Linked DNA regions of Saccharomyces cerevisiae S288C. Changing the gene in region 4 together with the main gene of any one other region gives a genetic interaction. Each region holds a gene or a part of one and is shown on either strand. Other genes may lie near its edges.

What was found.
Region 1: mutations in RTG1 (region 4) and GCN1 together harm fitness more than expected from each alone (negative genetic interaction), as found in Saccharomyces cerevisiae (4 studies listed by BioGRID).
Region 2: mutations in RTG1 (region 4) and GCN20 together harm fitness more than expected from each alone (negative genetic interaction), as found in Saccharomyces cerevisiae (3 studies listed by BioGRID).
Region 3: mutations in RTG1 (region 4) and GCR2 together harm fitness more than expected from each alone (negative genetic interaction), as found in Saccharomyces cerevisiae (4 studies listed by BioGRID).

What each region holds. Positions count from the first base shown.
Region 1 is NC_001139.9:129,630-134,590, reverse strand, and holds the start of GCN1 (Gcn1p), read right to left. Parts: upstream 3,067-4,961; coding exon 1-3,066. Other genes in the region: D-serine ammonia-lyase DSD1, read right to left, coding at 3,422-4,708. UniProt on the Saccharomyces cerevisiae protein: Ribosome collision sensor that activates a translation quality control pathway when a ribosome has stalled during translation. Directly binds to the ribosome and acts as a sentinel for colliding ribosomes.
Region 2 is NC_001138.5:160,473-165,246, forward strand, and holds GCN20 (putative AAA family ATPase GCN20), read left to right. Parts: upstream 1-2,015; coding exon 2,016-4,274; downstream 4,275-4,774. Other genes in the region: FAR7 (Far7p), read left to right, coding at 63-728; ubiquitin-specific protease UBP6, read left to right, coding at 4,595-4,774. UniProt on the Saccharomyces cerevisiae protein: Acts as a positive activator of the GCN2 protein kinase activity in response to in response to low amino acid, carbon, or purine availability.
Region 3 is NC_001146.8:264,426-268,687, reverse strand, and holds GCR2 (Gcr2p), read left to right. Parts: upstream 1-2,157; coding exon 2,158-3,762; downstream 3,763-4,262. Other genes in the region: mRNA-binding protein WHI3, read left to right, coding at 1-1,080; NNR1 (NADHX epimerase), read left to right, coding at 4,235-4,262. UniProt on the Saccharomyces cerevisiae protein: Transcriptional activator required for the expression of glycolytic genes. Enhances the CT box-dependent transcriptional activation of a RAP1-GCR1 complex. Required for GCR1 phosphorylation.
Region 4 is NC_001147.6:201,485-204,396, forward strand, and holds RTG1 (Rtg1p), read right to left. Parts: upstream 1,035-2,912; coding exon 501-1,034; downstream 1-500. Other genes in the region: histone deacetylase HST1, read right to left, coding at 1-395; bifunctional DRAP deaminase/tRNA pseudouridine synthase RIB2, read right to left, coding at 1,212-2,912. UniProt on the Saccharomyces cerevisiae protein: Required for a novel path of interorganelle communication between mitochondria, peroxisomes and the nucleus, thereby maintaining a functional metabolic interaction between the tricarboxylic acid and glyoxylate cycles.

The DNA.
Region 1 (4,961 bases), on a different chromosome or scaffold from region 4:
AGCGTTGAAACAATCTTTAGCAATCTTCGCTTTTGAGGGTAAAGATAGAAGAGATAGTAACACTTCAACAATGGAAATTCTCGGAATGGAAGGATCCTCAAAAGCTTCAGCGTGTACAGAAATAATTTCCATGGCCAGTAACAGATGTTCTTCTTCTTCATCTTCTTCAACAAACTCAGCCTTAACAACAGGCTTGTCCGCATTCTTTAATGCAATCGCCTTACCCTTTTCTAAAACATTAATCAACAATGGTAAAATATATGTCAAACTGATGGAATCTATTGCTGCTTGGTTGGAGACGAACTTGATCCTAAAAAGAACTCTTGTAAGTAATTCAACCAGTGGTTCTTGTAAATAATCTTGCGAGATGCCATTAGCATTGTGCACACGCAAAGTCGCCAAACCTAAGAAAAGTCTGATATTACCTAATCTCTCGGAGACATTTTGAGAAAGCTGCAAGAACACATTATTTACATCCTCTGTTAGCTTTGAAATATTTGGTTCCGAGCATAGGTACAAAAGCTTTGTGACTGCCAAGGGGAACCAAGTAGCGATGCCATTTTGGACTAAGCAAGCAGCTTTGGAAAGTTCAGATACCAATCTAATACCACGCTTTAAACGAGTGGAAATTTCCGAAACGTGTGATCTAACTGCAGATTCTTTCGCTAACTGTTCATTAACGAGCTCTTGTTCCTCTTTTGAAAGTTTTTTCACATTCTTTTTGGCTTGCTCCTTCCTTATTTTTTGTTCCCACATTAGAGTTTCGTACTCTTTAGAATTTTTATTGGAAAGTTTCTTATTCATGCTTTCTTCCAGGACGTCAACCACCAGAACACCTTCCTCTCCTGCAAAAATTTCGAAGTCCTCTTCAGATAAACGTGAGAAATCATCCGCGGTTAAATCTGCTTCGATAGTCTTACAAAGGATCGGTGTGAACTCATTAGGCTGAATAAATGCTGCATAGGCAGCTGCTTGCAAACCGCATGCACCATAAATTGTATCTATCCATTCACAACTACCTGTGATTTCAAGAATCTTCTCCATGATAACGCTAGCATGTTCTTTGACAACTTCAGCTGGATCAAGCCTTGCACGTAAAACTAAACCAGCCCAGCCATTCTTAATGTTGAAAATATTCCATTGCGCTATGACCAGAGCATTGATTAATACCTTTATCGAGGCTTCCTTGTCAGGTAACTCAGACGTAATGGCCAGTAGTACAGAAGTGACATATTTAAAGGATGTATTTTGTTGAGGTATTAATTCTTGGACACGCATTCTCCTTTCAATTGCATCAATCACGCTAAACCCAATAAATTCGGGTTTCTTGTAGAACAATTCTTGTAGTAAATTAACAGCATGAATACGGTTTTCGATGGATAGCTCTGTTGATAATGCAGCAGTTAAGATAGCATCACCTATCGAAGAATTTTCAGGAAGGGTTTCTATGAGCTGCATAACACGATCATTTAGCTCAGTATTGTCCAATGCCAAAATTTTGTTTGTAAATTCAATTGATGCTAGAATACATGCATGCCCGTGAGTCTGATAATGTATGATGGAGTCTTTCACAAATTCCAAACAACCGTCTATAAAGTTTAAAATCACCTCTTCAGAGGCAGCATTGGAATTGTTCAAAAATGCGGCAAACCAGCATTTTTTCAAAGCAGGTTTTTTATCTGCAAAACCAGCTGATATAATTTTATCCAAGTCTTCAATAGGTTTGCCCAGACTAAAATAATGAACAAAAAAAGCGTTAAGCATTAGAGTCAAGGCTGCTTCATTACCTTCTTTACCAATATATGGGGACAGCCCTTTGCAGATTTTTTCTGAAACCTCATAGTGCGTTAAGGGTATTTCTATGAGAATTTTGGAAATAAGTGATTTGTAATCTGCATTTAAGTTCGATTTGATGTTCTTAAATATTTCGTCAATAAGCTTGGTCAAATCTTCCAAGGTAGTGTCAGTATTGGAAATTTTTCTCAATAAGATTATCATAGACTGAAGCGAGACGGATCTAACTACCTCTTTTGAGCTTTTAAATGACGAGAAGTATTGATTAATCAGTTTCGAGGAAGCAAAGGCATTTAAGAGATTTACTTTTTCAGGAGAAACACCAGCATATAACTCAGATAAAATCGAAAAACCAACCTCAGGAGATCTTAAAACTGCTTTTTCAATATTAGGGATGAAAAACTTAATGAATAACTCTTGTGAAACAAATTCTTTTAAAAATGGCTTCAAACCAATCTCTAAGCAAAAGGAAGATGGTGGGTTTTTGCCTAAAAACACTTCTTTGCCCAAATATTCGCAATATTTCTCTGCAGAATTTTCCTTTAAAACGGAGTGCAGAGCTGGTTGCCTCGATAATAACTGAAGTGCAGCCTGAGTTAGTGCACCCATTATCATAACTACTCCAACACTGGTTATCTTCAGCTTAGAGTAGCTCTCCAGTACAGTTTTAATTGAAATCTTCATGAAGGAAATACTGTCGTCATTATCCTTCAAGCACTTAAGGAATGCTTTGACCGTTGTTTGGAAAATGCAATAACGAATTCTCTTTCTATGCTGGTTCTGCTTATCTTGGGATTTCTTGCCTTCTTCTTGATTGTCAAGAATAGTTTCCACACCGAACGTTGCATAAGAATGGGCGACCAACAATTTTGGAATGTACTCTTCAAATAAATTAGAATTATGCGACACAAAAATCAAGAAAGAATTAATCCAATCTAACAAATTAAGGTAATCAGCGACTGCTTTGGTAGCCGGATTACTGATGACCACGTCGGAAATGAATCGGATAAAGTTTTCTAGGAGACATGGCTCTAGATTTAAGATGTCAAGCAATATTGAAGTTACCAAACTTTTAGACCTATTGTCTTCGTAAATCGTGAAGGTATTCAATAAAACGAAAGCAATTTCAGATAATTGAGGTTTTTCCAATGTTTCTTGACGAACTAATTGTGATATATCTTGCAAAAAGGGAACTCTTTTAGACACGTGTGATTCGCGGGTGCCTTTCTCTAAAACAGGGGATATATCTTCCCAGTTTAAGATAGCTGTCATCACTGTAGGAGTTATTGGTGTCAGTCAGAGCTTTGTTTGTCTTAATGATCTACTTCAGGTTTAATAAGTACAACTCAAAGATCTTTTCGAAGGTTTAAATTATTCAAATTTTTCATTCGTACGTAACGACTTTATTGAGAAGCTCAATGACGGTAGTTGAAATTTCATAGCATTATATCAACAAATAAATCTGTATTACAATTACCAGCTCGCAGGTAATGCGGAAGCTTAACAAGAGGGTGTTTAGACCAACCTGTGTACAACCTTACTCTTAGTTACTATTTATAAATAGATACACAATTACATAGACACAGAGATGCTTTGATGAGAGTGATAACCAACGACAAAAGAGAGCTTACCATTTCTGAAAAGGTAACCAAACATCGTTGACAATGCCTTCGCTGTTTACCACGAAATAATATGGAAATTGTCCCATTGTGATACAAGCGTGTTGAGGAAGGACGGCAATTTTGCTGCCTAATTTTAATGGAGTAGTTTCGTTCCAGTTTCTTATTGGCCTCAGTATCCCGTGTTCTTGAGAGACCCTTGCTACATACCATTCCCTACTGAAACTCTCGGATTTTAACACATGTTCCAAATCAGCACATATTCCAAACCCTTTTATTGAGGATGCTTCTCGCGTTAGACACATTACACCTGTATTACTCAACAATTCACCTCTAGAAGGGTAAGATGATAGTACTGTTCCTAATACAAAACCAGACAATTCGTGATCTTGGACACAGCCTGTTGCCACCTGTTGCAGGTCATACATGCAGTAATTACCGCAGTGGATTTCAAGCGTACTAACTAATTGAGTAGTAATGAATTTAACAAGGGTACTTTTATTATCGAGTTTCAAAGAATTGGAAGTCGGAGTAGCGCCCACAGAAAGTGTTAATTTAGAAGGATCAAACTGAGGATCCACAGAGCACAAAACTTTAGCGGCAGAATTGACTGCTTTCACTTCTTCCATCAAAAGATTCTGAGTGTCGTTGATCGAGGTTGAAGAGTAGCTGTGTCCGGCATGAGCATAAAACCCATATGGCTCAATTACTTCTTTAATTTCTGAGGAAGTCAGTTTTTTTAAAAGACTCAAAAATTCTGGAGAGTCGAAAGCAAGACCTGCCCTCTTAGTCCCCATATCAACCTTGATAAAAACCGACCATTTCTTGCCGGAAGCAGGCCTACCGAAATTCTTTAAATTCTCCAAGTGTTCAATGTTATCAACAAAAACCTGAAAATTATTCACCCTTCTTGACAAATTGCTCAAAAGAGGAATAAACTCTGGAACGCAACAGGGTAAACTATATGTTATATCGTCAATATAATCCGAACATTGTCTATCTTGATAATTAAGAAGTTCTTCTGCTTCTTTCAAAGTTGATACTAATATGGCTCTTGTAGTGCGTTTAGCCAATGGAAGTCCGTGGCCCAATTGTTTCAAAGTTCCCTTTGCTGTCTTATGCGTTTTTACGTGTGCACGAAATTTGATTGGTACGCCACATTCCTGGCTGAGCTTTTCAACGTTGTTCAACATTGTCGTACAATTCTTATCAAATTTTTCTTCATTAATAACGAAATTGGGTGTGGGTAAATCTCTGACTGAGCACCCTTTATATTGAGATAGAACATCGCTCATTTCAAACTCTTCTTAGGAGCAATATTATACTTCCTTATCAAGAAATGAAGTATTTATGTGCACTTAATTCCCTTTCGTGTTGAATAAAATTGACAGTAAATAGTGGAAAGAAATCTTTTCACTCAAAAGCTTTATATATGTACACATATTGTTGTTCCATGGTTTTGAGAGATATTTTAACTCCGTCTTATCACTCTCCGACGGATTCGGCCCGATGTAAAAATTGTATTGCTAGTTATGTTCCGACATTTGG
Region 2 (4,774 bases), on a different chromosome or scaffold from region 4:
TACGACATATATGGGAAGTAATACATATTGATTCTACAAGAAGTTCAAGCCAAGGTTTAGATATGAGTGACCAAATCAACGTTTTGTCAATGCAACAACAACAACAGCAGCAGCAGCAGCAGCAGCAAGTATATATGTCTCCTCAAGCAGAAAACTTGAATCATATGTACTTGTTAGTTAACAAGCTAGTGAAACAGTTGAGGGAAAATCAAGCAGAAAAGGCGAAAATACTAAGGAACATAGACATATTATCCGGAAGCTTAAACAAGTATGAGACATCTGAAGAACCTCACGATACCACGGAAAATATTGCATTATTTAATAGATTTCTAGAACAAAGAGGGAAAGCTCCTATTACTGAGAAAGAGCAACTAAGCAACAATCTGGATGAAAATGCGAAAGATGACGTTATGCTAGGAGTGTTGAAGCGCCAAAATTCAATGCTCCGGAAAAGTTTACAGGAATCCAAGCAGGTAACCCTTGAATCCATGGATTTATTGTCTTACTCCGAAGACTCTTTAAATTACATTGTCGCCCAATTAAGAGGAAACATTCTAATGCATCATAAAGAGACTATCAAATTGATTAGGCAGAAATTCCAGACGGAGACAATTCCCCTCGAAGATGAAGAGTTCAAGATGTATTTGGAAAATGTTAATGGTCTGCAAAAATTGACAGATATATCTCACACTTATAGATTACTACTGAGGTTACATGCACAAGATTGAAACTTTGCCCTTTTGCTTCCAATGAAAGCAAGATGACAAATATACATGCTTCTTATATTCGAGATTGCGCAAAAATTCGAAGCTCATTTATGAAGGCTTTTTCCATTCTGATATATGTTTATGAAATTGAAAAAGTAACGACGGTGGAACATTTTGCGGGAAAACAACTCACAGAATGTCTTGACGTTCTTTTCCTGCAGTTGCGTGCGTAAGATATCCTAAGCTACTGTATTATTTGCCAAAAATAATAAAATGTTGGAGGAAAGCCTCTATAAATACACAGGATATATATGTTTAATAAACATATATAATTTCCTCAATATTTGCAAAAGCATTTTGTTGTGATGAGAGTCGATTATCGTTTACCGATTAGTATCTATACTATTAATATATTTTCATATAATTAGTATAATCTCATATACGCTGCCAGAAGATAACATGAAAATTAAGAAACAATCATCAGCTTCAATGGAAGTTGAAGTGCAAGGATAAATAATACTATTTAGAAATATGGATTTTCCCTCGTTGACTAGAAGATCTGTGAAGATTGGGTGAATAGTTTAATAATTATTGGATCCCATTATTGATCAAGGCTATAATACTTGACTATTTGGCGAATTTTGAGATAATTGTTGGGATTCCATTGTTGATAAAGGCCATAATATTATGTATACAGGATATACTAGAAGTTCTCCTCGATGATATAGGAATCCTCGAAATGGAATCTATATTTCTACATACTAATATTACGATTATTCCTCATTCCGTTTTATATGTTTCATTATCCTATTGCATTATCAATCCTTGCACTTCAGCTTCCTCTAACTTCGATGACAGCTTCTCATAACTTATGTCATCATCTTTACACCGTATATGATAATATATTGATAATATAACTATTAGTTGATAGACGATAGTGGATTTTTATTCCAACACACTAATTATCATTCGTTACATCTCAAATTGGTTAGAGAAGTTACAAACATTATTATTGATTTATCCAAGGATAGTTTTCACAAGAAAACAAGCGCAAGTGGTTTAGTGGTAAAATCCAACGTTGCCATCGTTGGGCCCCCGGTTCGATTCCGGGCTTGCGCAGTTTCTTTTTTTTCTGATTTTTATTTTTTTGTTCCTGAAAATTTTTCGTATTATTAGATCTAGTAGAAAATGAAAGACATTTGAAAAGAGAAATATATATTCTGCAGTAAGCTAGCTAAGACTAGTCGTTTTGAAGCGCTAAAACGTTAACTTCGATTCATAGCACAAAAGGTAAATAACTTTTTTGAAATGGCAAGCATCGGTTCGCAAGTGAGAAAAGCTGCTTCTAGTATTGACCCTATCGTCACGGATTACGCAGTGGGCTACTTTAACCACTTGTCCGGAATAACTTTTGATGCTGTTCAAAGTAAGCAGGTAGATTTGTCCACTGAAGTGCAATTTGTGTCCGATTTATTGATTGATGCGGGTGCGTCAAAGGCTAAAGTTAAAGAACTATCGGAAAGTATTTTGAAGCAATTGACTACTCAACTAAAGGAGAACGAAGCCAAATTGGAATTGACCGGTGATACGTCCAAGAGATTACTTGATATTAATGTCTTAAAGAGTCATAACAGTAAATCCGATATCAACGTCTCATTAAGCATGCTGGGTGTGAACGGTGACATCGAACATACTGGTAGAAAGATGGAAACAAGAGTTGATTTGAAAAAACTGGCCAAGGCTGAACAAAAGATCGCAAAGAAAGTCGCCAAGAGAAATAACAAATTTGTTAAATACGAGGCTTCTAAATTGATCAATGACCAAAAGGAGGAGGATTACGATTCTTTCTTTTTGCAAATCAACCCTTTAGAATTCGGTTCATCCGCTGGTAAATCCAAGGATATCCATATTGACACTTTCGACTTGTACGTTGGTGACGGTCAAAGAATTTTGTCCAACGCCCAATTGACTCTAAGTTTTGGTCACAGATATGGTCTTGTGGGCCAAAATGGTATTGGTAAATCTACTTTGTTAAGGGCTCTATCTAGAAGAGAGCTGAACGTCCCCAAACATGTTTCGATTTTACACGTGGAACAAGAGTTAAGAGGTGATGATACAAAGGCTTTACAAAGTGTGCTGGATGCAGACGTTTGGAGAAAACAACTATTAAGTGAAGAAGCCAAGATCAATGAAAGATTAAAGGAAATGGATGTATTAAGACAGGAATTCGAAGAAGACAGTTTAGAAGTTAAAAAATTGGACAATGAAAGAGAAGACTTGGATAACCATTTGATACAGATTTCTGACAAATTAGTCGATATGGAATCTGACAAGGCTGAAGCTAGGGCAGCATCAATCTTATATGGTTTGGGGTTCAGTACGGAGGCACAGCAACAACCCACTAATTCCTTTTCCGGTGGTTGGAGAATGAGATTGTCCTTGGCAAGAGCCTTATTCTGTCAACCAGATCTTTTGTTGTTAGATGAACCTTCCAATATGTTGGATGTGCCATCCATCGCTTATTTAGCAGAGTATTTGAAAACATATCCAAATACAGTTTTGACAGTTTCTCACGACCGTGCATTCTTGAATGAAGTGGCTACAGATATCATTTATCAACACAACGAAAGACTAGACTATTACAGAGGCCAAGATTTCGATACCTTTTACACCACAAAGGAGGAACGTAGAAAGAATGCTCAACGTGAGTATGATAACCAAATGGTTTACAGAAAGCACTTGCAAGAGTTTATTGACAAATACAGATACAATGCTGCCAAATCACAGGAAGCTCAATCAAGAATTAAGAAATTGGAAAAATTGCCCGTTTTGGAGCCACCTGAACAAGACAAAACCATTGATTTCAAATTCCCTGAATGTGATAAATTGTCTCCACCAATTATCCAATTGCAAGACGTTTCCTTTGGTTATGATGAAAACAACCTATTATTGAAAGATGTTAACCTGGACGTTCAAATGGATTCCAGAATTGCCCTTGTAGGTGCCAATGGTTGTGGTAAGACTACACTGTTGAAGATTATGATGGAGCAGTTAAGACCACTAAAAGGCTTTGTATCAAGAAACCCAAGATTACGTATAGGCTACTTCACTCAACATCATGTGGATTCTATGGATTTGACCACGTCTGCAGTGGACTGGATGTCCAAATCCTTCCCAGGTAAAACTGATGAAGAGTATAGACGTCATCTAGGTTCATTTGGTATCACTGGTACCCTGGGTCTACAAAAGATGCAATTATTATCCGGTGGTCAAAAATCTCGTGTAGCATTCGCTGCATTGTGTTTAAATAATCCACACATTTTGGTTCTGGATGAACCTTCTAACCATTTGGATACCACTGGTCTAGACGCTTTGGTAGAAGCCTTGAAAAATTTCAACGGTGGTGTCTTAATGGTTTCCCATGATATCTCTGTTATTGACTCTGTTTGTAAAGAGATTTGGGTTTCAGAGCAAGGTACTGTCAAGAGGTTCGAAGGTACAATTTACGACTATAGAGATTACATCTTGCAGTCTGCTGATGCTGCAGGTGTGGTTAAAAAGCATTGATTATTTAGGAAGCACCTCAGAATATATTTTCCATAGAAGCCTAAATTAAGTATGCATTCATAGCCCCATGATACTTTTTTTTTTTGACTACTTGTATTGGAATCTAATTGACCTAACTGGGCATTCTGGGTCATTGGTATATGTATCACTTTTTACGTAAAAAAGTAGTGGCTAATATAAAACATAAAATCTACAAGAAGGGTGAAGTGCTTTTCGAATTTTGCCACTGCAAGTAATTGGTGCAATTGAAATACGAGATTTCGTTCTCTAAGAGGATATAAAAATAAGGAAATTAGCCCTACCTATCCTTGTGTTAAAATATGAGCGGAGAAACGTTTGAGTTCAATATTAGACATTCTGGTAAAGTTTACCCAATAACACTTTCCACTGATGCTACTTCAGCAGATTTGAAAAGCAAAGCAGAGGAATTGACCCAAGTCCCAAGTGCCCGCCAAAAATACATGGTTAAAGGTGGCTTGTCTGGCGAAGAGTCCATTAAA
Region 3 (4,262 bases), on a different chromosome or scaffold from region 4:
TCTGTGGAATCAACAATTCAAACATCTGATATTGGCAAATCTTTCCTTTTGAGAGATAACACTGAAATTAATGAAAAGATATGGGGCACAAGCGGTATACCTTCCAGCATCAACGGTTACATGAGCACTCCCCAACCTTCTACGCCAACTTTAGAATGGGGAAATACTTCTGCATCCCAACATGGTTCTTCGTTCTTTTTACCCTCTGCAGCATCGACAGCCATTGCACCTACGAATAGCAACACCAGTGCCAATGCAAACGCCAGCTCCAACAATGGAGCCAGCAATAATGGTGCTAACCAGGCACTCTCTGCCAGCTCGCAACAACCAATGATGCAAATTGGTAACACGATTAACACTTCCCTAACCTCTTCAAATTCATTGCCTCCATACGGTTTAATGTCTTCTCAATCGCAGCACATTTCAAATATGGTAAACACCTCTGATATGAACATTACACCTCAAAAACAGAACAGATTTATGCAACAACCCCAACCAGAGCATATGTATCCTGTGAATCAAAGTAACACTCCTCAAAAAGTACCGCCCGCAAGATTAAGTTCAAGTAGAAATTCACACAAGAATAACTCTACTACCTCATTATCCTCAAATATTACTGGATCTGCCTCGATTTCTCAGGCTGATTTGTCACTACTAGCCAGAATTCCACCTCCTGCCAACCCTGCTGATCAAAATCCACCTTGTAATACCCTTTATGTAGGGAATTTACCCTCCGACGCTACTGAGCAAGAACTAAGACAGCTATTTTCTGGTCAAGAAGGCTTCAGAAGACTATCATTCAGGAATAAGAATACCACATCTAATGGTCATAGTCACGGACCGATGTGCTTCGTTGAATTCGATGATGTCAGTTTTGCAACCAGAGCGTTAGCTGAATTGTATGGTAGACAGTTACCTCGCTCCACTGTGAGCAGTAAGGGAGGTATCAGATTAAGCTTTTCAAAAAACCCACTGGGTGTTAGGGGCCCAAACAGCAGAAGAGGAGGCAGTGGTAACCCAAATCCTAATGTAAATATGCTTTCCAGTTACAATTCTAATGTTGGTCATATAAAAAACTAAAAAAATGGTTCCGCAAAAACCTGATTTCCTTGCATGTATCACATTATATGCATTGCTTTTCATCTTTCCCCCACTATAATAAGAATAATATTTTCTGTCGCATTTTTTCTTTTTCTTTTATTATTTGTTATAATAATATTTTCTAAACCGACTAATAATAAGAATAACATCGATAATACTTTATCTCTTCAATTACGTTAAATTATCTTTTTACTATTACATTACAACGTGCATATAACAGAAATTTTTTCTTTTTCTGTCTAACATTTGAATTGTACTATGAATTAAACCCGCCATCTTTTTTCTTAACTACCATTTTGCGAACTCCTATACCGCTTCTGCAACAACAAGAACTTTTATTTTCAATTTTAATGTGCCATTCATTCCATTTTGCTTGCGCTAATGTGAATAAGATTGAGAGGGAAAAGTCTCACTATCGAATATCGCTCTTTAGTGTGATTATTGTCATCAAAGCACCAAGTGCTTAGGTGAGGTCATATCCGACAAATGTTTTGAAGAGAGAATATCTTTTTTTTATGCTGCCAACTTTTATTCTTTCCTTGTTTAAAAAACTCTGCCTTTGGATATTCTCCCACTATATATATGTATTAGCCTTACTTTTATTCCAGAACTCATTTTTATAGAAGTATATATCGGTATCGACTTCAATGTAATATTTTCAACCCTATGCTACAAGAGCAGATTAAAAAAATATGGGCTACCAGTGGCAAGAACATATTTGATATTTCGAAGTTCTACTTTGTTTATGACCGAACTGATCAATTTTATGAATGTCTTTCAATGGAATCTCAATACGGGTAATAACGTCATATTTCTTATTTTTCTTGGACAATTTGTCCAAAATAAAATTTTCACGACTTTTCTCCTTCAAGTACCGCGACTTCTGCGATAGTTGTCCGTTAGACATAATAATCATTAACGCATCCATAAGGTGCTTGCGGTCTGTATTTGACTTTCTTCACATTCTTACGCCTAGACTGAATGGGAAAACAACCAAGAAACCAAAAAGGAACCTGAGAACACAAAGAGTATTTGACGAAAAGTTACACTCACATAATGCATCACCAAACTAAGTTAGATGTATTCATAATCAGAGCTTATAATTTACTGTCTAACGAGTCTGTCATTAGTGGTGCTTCCTTGCAGAGTGTTACAAACTCGCCACAGACGACAACGAACACGCCCTCAGGTATGGTTAACGGGGCGGTTGGAACAGGGATAGCTAATCCAACAGGGTTGATGGGGTCTGATAGCACACCTAACATCGATGAGATTATAACTAGCACTGGTAGTAATGCTCTGACGAAAACCAACTCAGATAGCGCTAATGGTACGCCGAATGGTAATTCAAGTTCTACCTCAGCCATTAGCAATGCAAGCAATCCTGCCACTACTGGTAATAATGCGAGCTCTAGTGCCACCTCAAATGGAATATATACGCAAGCGCAATATTCTCAACTTTTCGCCAAAATATCAAAACTATATAACGCTACACTATCATCTGGGTCAATTGACGATAGATCAACATCACCAAAATCGGCAATCGAACTATATCAAAGATTTCAACAGATGATTAAGGAACTAGAGCTGAGTTTTGACGCAAGTCCTTACGCAAAATACTTCCGCCGGTTGGATGGAAGGCTTTGGCAAATAAAGACAGACTCAGAATTAGAAAACGATGAATTGTGGCGATTAGTCTCAATGAGCATATTTACAGTATTCGATCCTCAGACCGGCCAAATTCTAACTCAAGGACGCAGGAAGGGAAACTCCTTAAATACATCAACTAAAGGCTCCCCATCAGATTTACAGGGAATAAACAACGGGAACAATAATGGGAACAATGGTAATATTGGAAATGGGAGTAATATTAAGAACTATGGAAATAAAAACATGCCAAACAACCGAACGAAAAAAAGAGGCACCAGGGTGGCTAAAAATGCTAAAAATGGGAAAAACAATAAAAATAGTAATAAAGAGAGAAACGGCATTACAGATACGAGTGCATTCAGTAATACAACAATAAGCAACCCAGGTACCAATATGCTTTTTGATCCATCATTGTCTCAACAGTTACAAAAACGACTGCAAACGCTATCACAAGATGTCAATTCTCGTTCGTTGACAGGATATTATACACAGCCAACCAGTCCTGGCTCAGGAGGATTTGAATTTGGTTTGAGTCATGCAGATCTGAACCCCAATGCTTCCAGTAATACCATGGGCTATAATACAATGTCCAATAATGGATCCCATTCGTGGAAACGAAGGTCACTGGGATCGTTAGATGTTAATACGCTGGATGACGAAGCGGTGGAAGAACTTTTGCAACTGACAAATACGAGTAAGAGGCAGAGGCCGATGACAACTGCAGCAGAGGGTGCGTTAATAAATGATGGTCCGGACACTAATTTAAACGCGAATAACACCCAAATGAAAGTTGATTTAAATCCTTCAAACAGCATGGGACCTATAGATACAGAAGCCGTGATACGCCCATTGAAAGAAGCTTATGACGCAATCATTTCTGAAAAAGGCCAAAGAATTGTGCAATTAGAAAGAGAATTGGAATTACAGCGCCAAGAGACGCAGTGGTTAAGGAAAATGTTAATTGAAGACATGGGTTGTGTTAGAAGTATGTTAAGGGATTTACAAAGATGACACGATAATAATGTTTAACATATATTGCTTTCTCTTTTAATTTTCTGGTGTAGATTGGCGGTATAATTAACTATTTAACAGTGACGTTTACTATCTTACTGTTTCTTGTACTCTTTTATAATGAACAGACGTTATTATATAACTACGAACTAATGATAATTCTTTTTACGTTATTCCTGATGTAAAGGATACAAAATGGGTTTCTTTATTTTGCAGCAGAACCGTAAAATTTACGCTACTTTTACCGTGGGTCCTCTTATTTGATTGTTTCCGTCGCTACGAGCGAACAAGGGGTGGAGACAATAGGGATGGTGAATATATACACATACGTTCATATATAAGAAAAAAACTCAAGAAGAATATCAAACGACCAGGATCCTTGCTTATATTATTGTCTGTTGCTGGGCCAACACATATTTTCATTTCAACACACCAATCTCAGGTATTAAAGAGAAATCATTGTAAGGTAAAAATGTCTACGTTGAAAGTTGTTTCATCAA
Region 4 (2,912 bases):
GAAGTGATATTAGAGTTTAACGCCATAAATAGTTCTTTATCTTTGACGTCGAATCCCAGCAATTTTATCATGAAATAAATGTAGATCGAGTTGACTTCCACTGGCAAAAAATATTCTAAAAAAGTTTTCAAATCGTTGTCCTTCAAAAACAGTCTTGCATTCATAACATCATCTTTAGTGATTGCAGGAAAGATGAATTTGCCCGTCACCTTATCCTTCCCGAGGATACAAGGGTACGTTAATCTCGTTTTCAGCTTCTTCGTAGCATTATTATCTGACTCTTCTTCTTGAGGTCTTTTCAACATTGTCATGGTCAGCTCTCCAACATGAAAGTATCGCCCTTGACTAACCACCAAAATAAAACTAACTATCCGTTGCATTAGCAATATGTTCATTTAGATTTTTTTTTCTCACAAAAACAACAAAAAAGAAGAGAAGTGTTCGTATCACTACCAACGAGGGTTATCACAACATAGCAATAGTGAGAGTCAGAAGTACTTTTAGCTACCATTACCGTACTCACCATACCCTCCGTACTCGAAGGAGCTCAACCTCTTTGCTGGCGGTCTTACTGAGTCATCATTTGTTGCGGCCAGCGGTCCCACGCCAATCCTGGACAGGGCGACTTCAGCGCTGGTGTTCTCTAAGTTTATATCGTTGACAATGGTGCCTGTCTGCTTGGCCAACTGAGTGGCCTTCACCATCAGTTCCACCTCCTCTCTGTTCTGTGTGTCCACTTGATTTTGTAGATGTGATATGTACTCTACCGCCTGTGTGAGAATTTGGCCCTTGTTGGGCTTTCCGTCCTTGGTCCCTGTACCTTTGGCCTTGCTGGACAACCCAAGCGCACCGGGAGTGGATTCACTTAACGTGTCATTGCTACCAGAATTGCCGTAATAATCTCTAAAGAAGTCTTTGGGAATGATACTCAATAGTTCTTGAATACGGTCGTTGATCTTATCTCTGCGCTTGCGGTCATTCTTGAAATTAGCACCGCAGGACCCAGGATCAGTGCCAGCTGGAATGCTGCTCATGTTTGGTGTTGTGCTTTCTTTTGGTTCACTATCTAGTGTTTTTTGTCTGTGTTGTGGTTGAAGTTAATTCCATTCTTTTTACTCAAAATTTTCGGTGGCGCCTTTTTCCGTTTCCAGTAATGAGTGGTTATTGTAGATATGATGTAAGATTACATGATAATATATATGCTAAATAGTCTAAGCTTTGTCGTCACTATTATCGTGGCCTTTGAAGGCAATGATGGTGCACTCCTCCTCGTAGCCTGGTATTTGTATGTAGTTCACACCGTGCGATTCCAGCTTGTTCAAACTTGTATTGTTTTTAACAAATGTATCGGGCTCCATAACCCCCACGAAGACAGTACCAATGGCACCTTGGGTGGCCAGGATTCTATCGCAGCAAGGCTCATTGCCACTTAGCCTGAAGGAACAGGGTTCCATGGTTGTATAGAGCACTGTTCCCATAGGGACTATAGTGGGACAGTTCGGGTGTAACTGCGAGTACTTTATCAAAGCACACTGTTCTGCATGAGTGTTTCCTGGTAGCTCTCTTGAATATCCTGTGGCAAGTACTTGAGTTCCATGAACAAGAACGGCACCAACACTAAAAGCAGTCTTTGTCGGGCCACACTTACCAGCTTCCTTAACGGCCATTTCCATATATCGGCGATGTGGCTCTAAGGCCCATTCAGGGTATTTTGTTCTATAACTCCAGAGAGGTTTTTGCGTATCCGAATTTCTTTCCAATGACTCGTACCGGAAGGCATGCAGCCAGAGGTCGAGATCATTAGTACCGGGATCTGTGTACATTTCAGCCTCGCATTCTTCGCACTGACGGCCAAGCAAGTATTCACCCTCGCTATGAGGATGAATCCAGCTCTCTGCAGGATTAGTCTTGCCAATAGCGTCTAGTTTCAGAACGATGTCATCATAGTTTTGAAGTCCACCGCGGCCCAAATCTGGACCCCAGATATCTGGGTTCGAGTATATAGGGTCATTTGCTATGGGAAATCCCAAGTACTGCAAATGGACTCTTATTTGGTGAGTTCTACCTGTCAATGGTTTACACTTTACAATACTCGTCTGTCCATCATAGCTAACCCTTTGGAAAACGGTCTTGGCATGTTTAGCGTTTTCATCGCTCATCTCGCAAACAGCGTTTAGTGCAACTTTAGGGTTAACAGATCTGACAGGCTTATCTACCTCTACTATACCTATAGGGAACTCGCCCTTCACGCGGGCTACGTATTCTTTGGTGACTTCCCTCGCTTTCATTTGGTCTCCCATTCTATCTGCACCTAATGGAGTCTTGGCTAAAAACATTAGTCCACTAGTTGGCTTGTCTAGTCTATTACATGGATGTACTGAATAACCTAGCTGTCTTTCTAGCATTTTTGTAATGGTATTGAATCTGTATCTGCCCGTTGGGTGCACTGGAATACTGCTGGGTTTATCAATGACAAGGATATCTTCGTCTTCAAACACAATATCTATTGGTTTAGATGTGACTGGCGGTTCATGTCGATGTACTTTATGTGTGATCAGATCACCGTCACGAATGATGGTATCAAGGTTTGCAGGTTCATCGTTTAAGTATACTTTTCCCTCTGCAATGGTTTTGGAATAATAGCTGGGCTCTCGATCCCTGAATTCGCTCACGAATACATCCACCAACTTACGATCTCTCCACCTCTCCTTACAGAAAGTTTTATAAGTGAAAAAATAAGGCTCAATCTTCCTTAAGGGTCCATCAATTGTCACTTCATAATCAGGGTCTGTCTTTTTAGTTTTGTGCCCATCGGTTTGAATAACTCTCAGTCTGAATCCACTCGCATCTTTGACTTTGGAACTGTTTTCGTTCCTATTATTATTCCTGTTCGCGAATTTTCTTAACTTCAC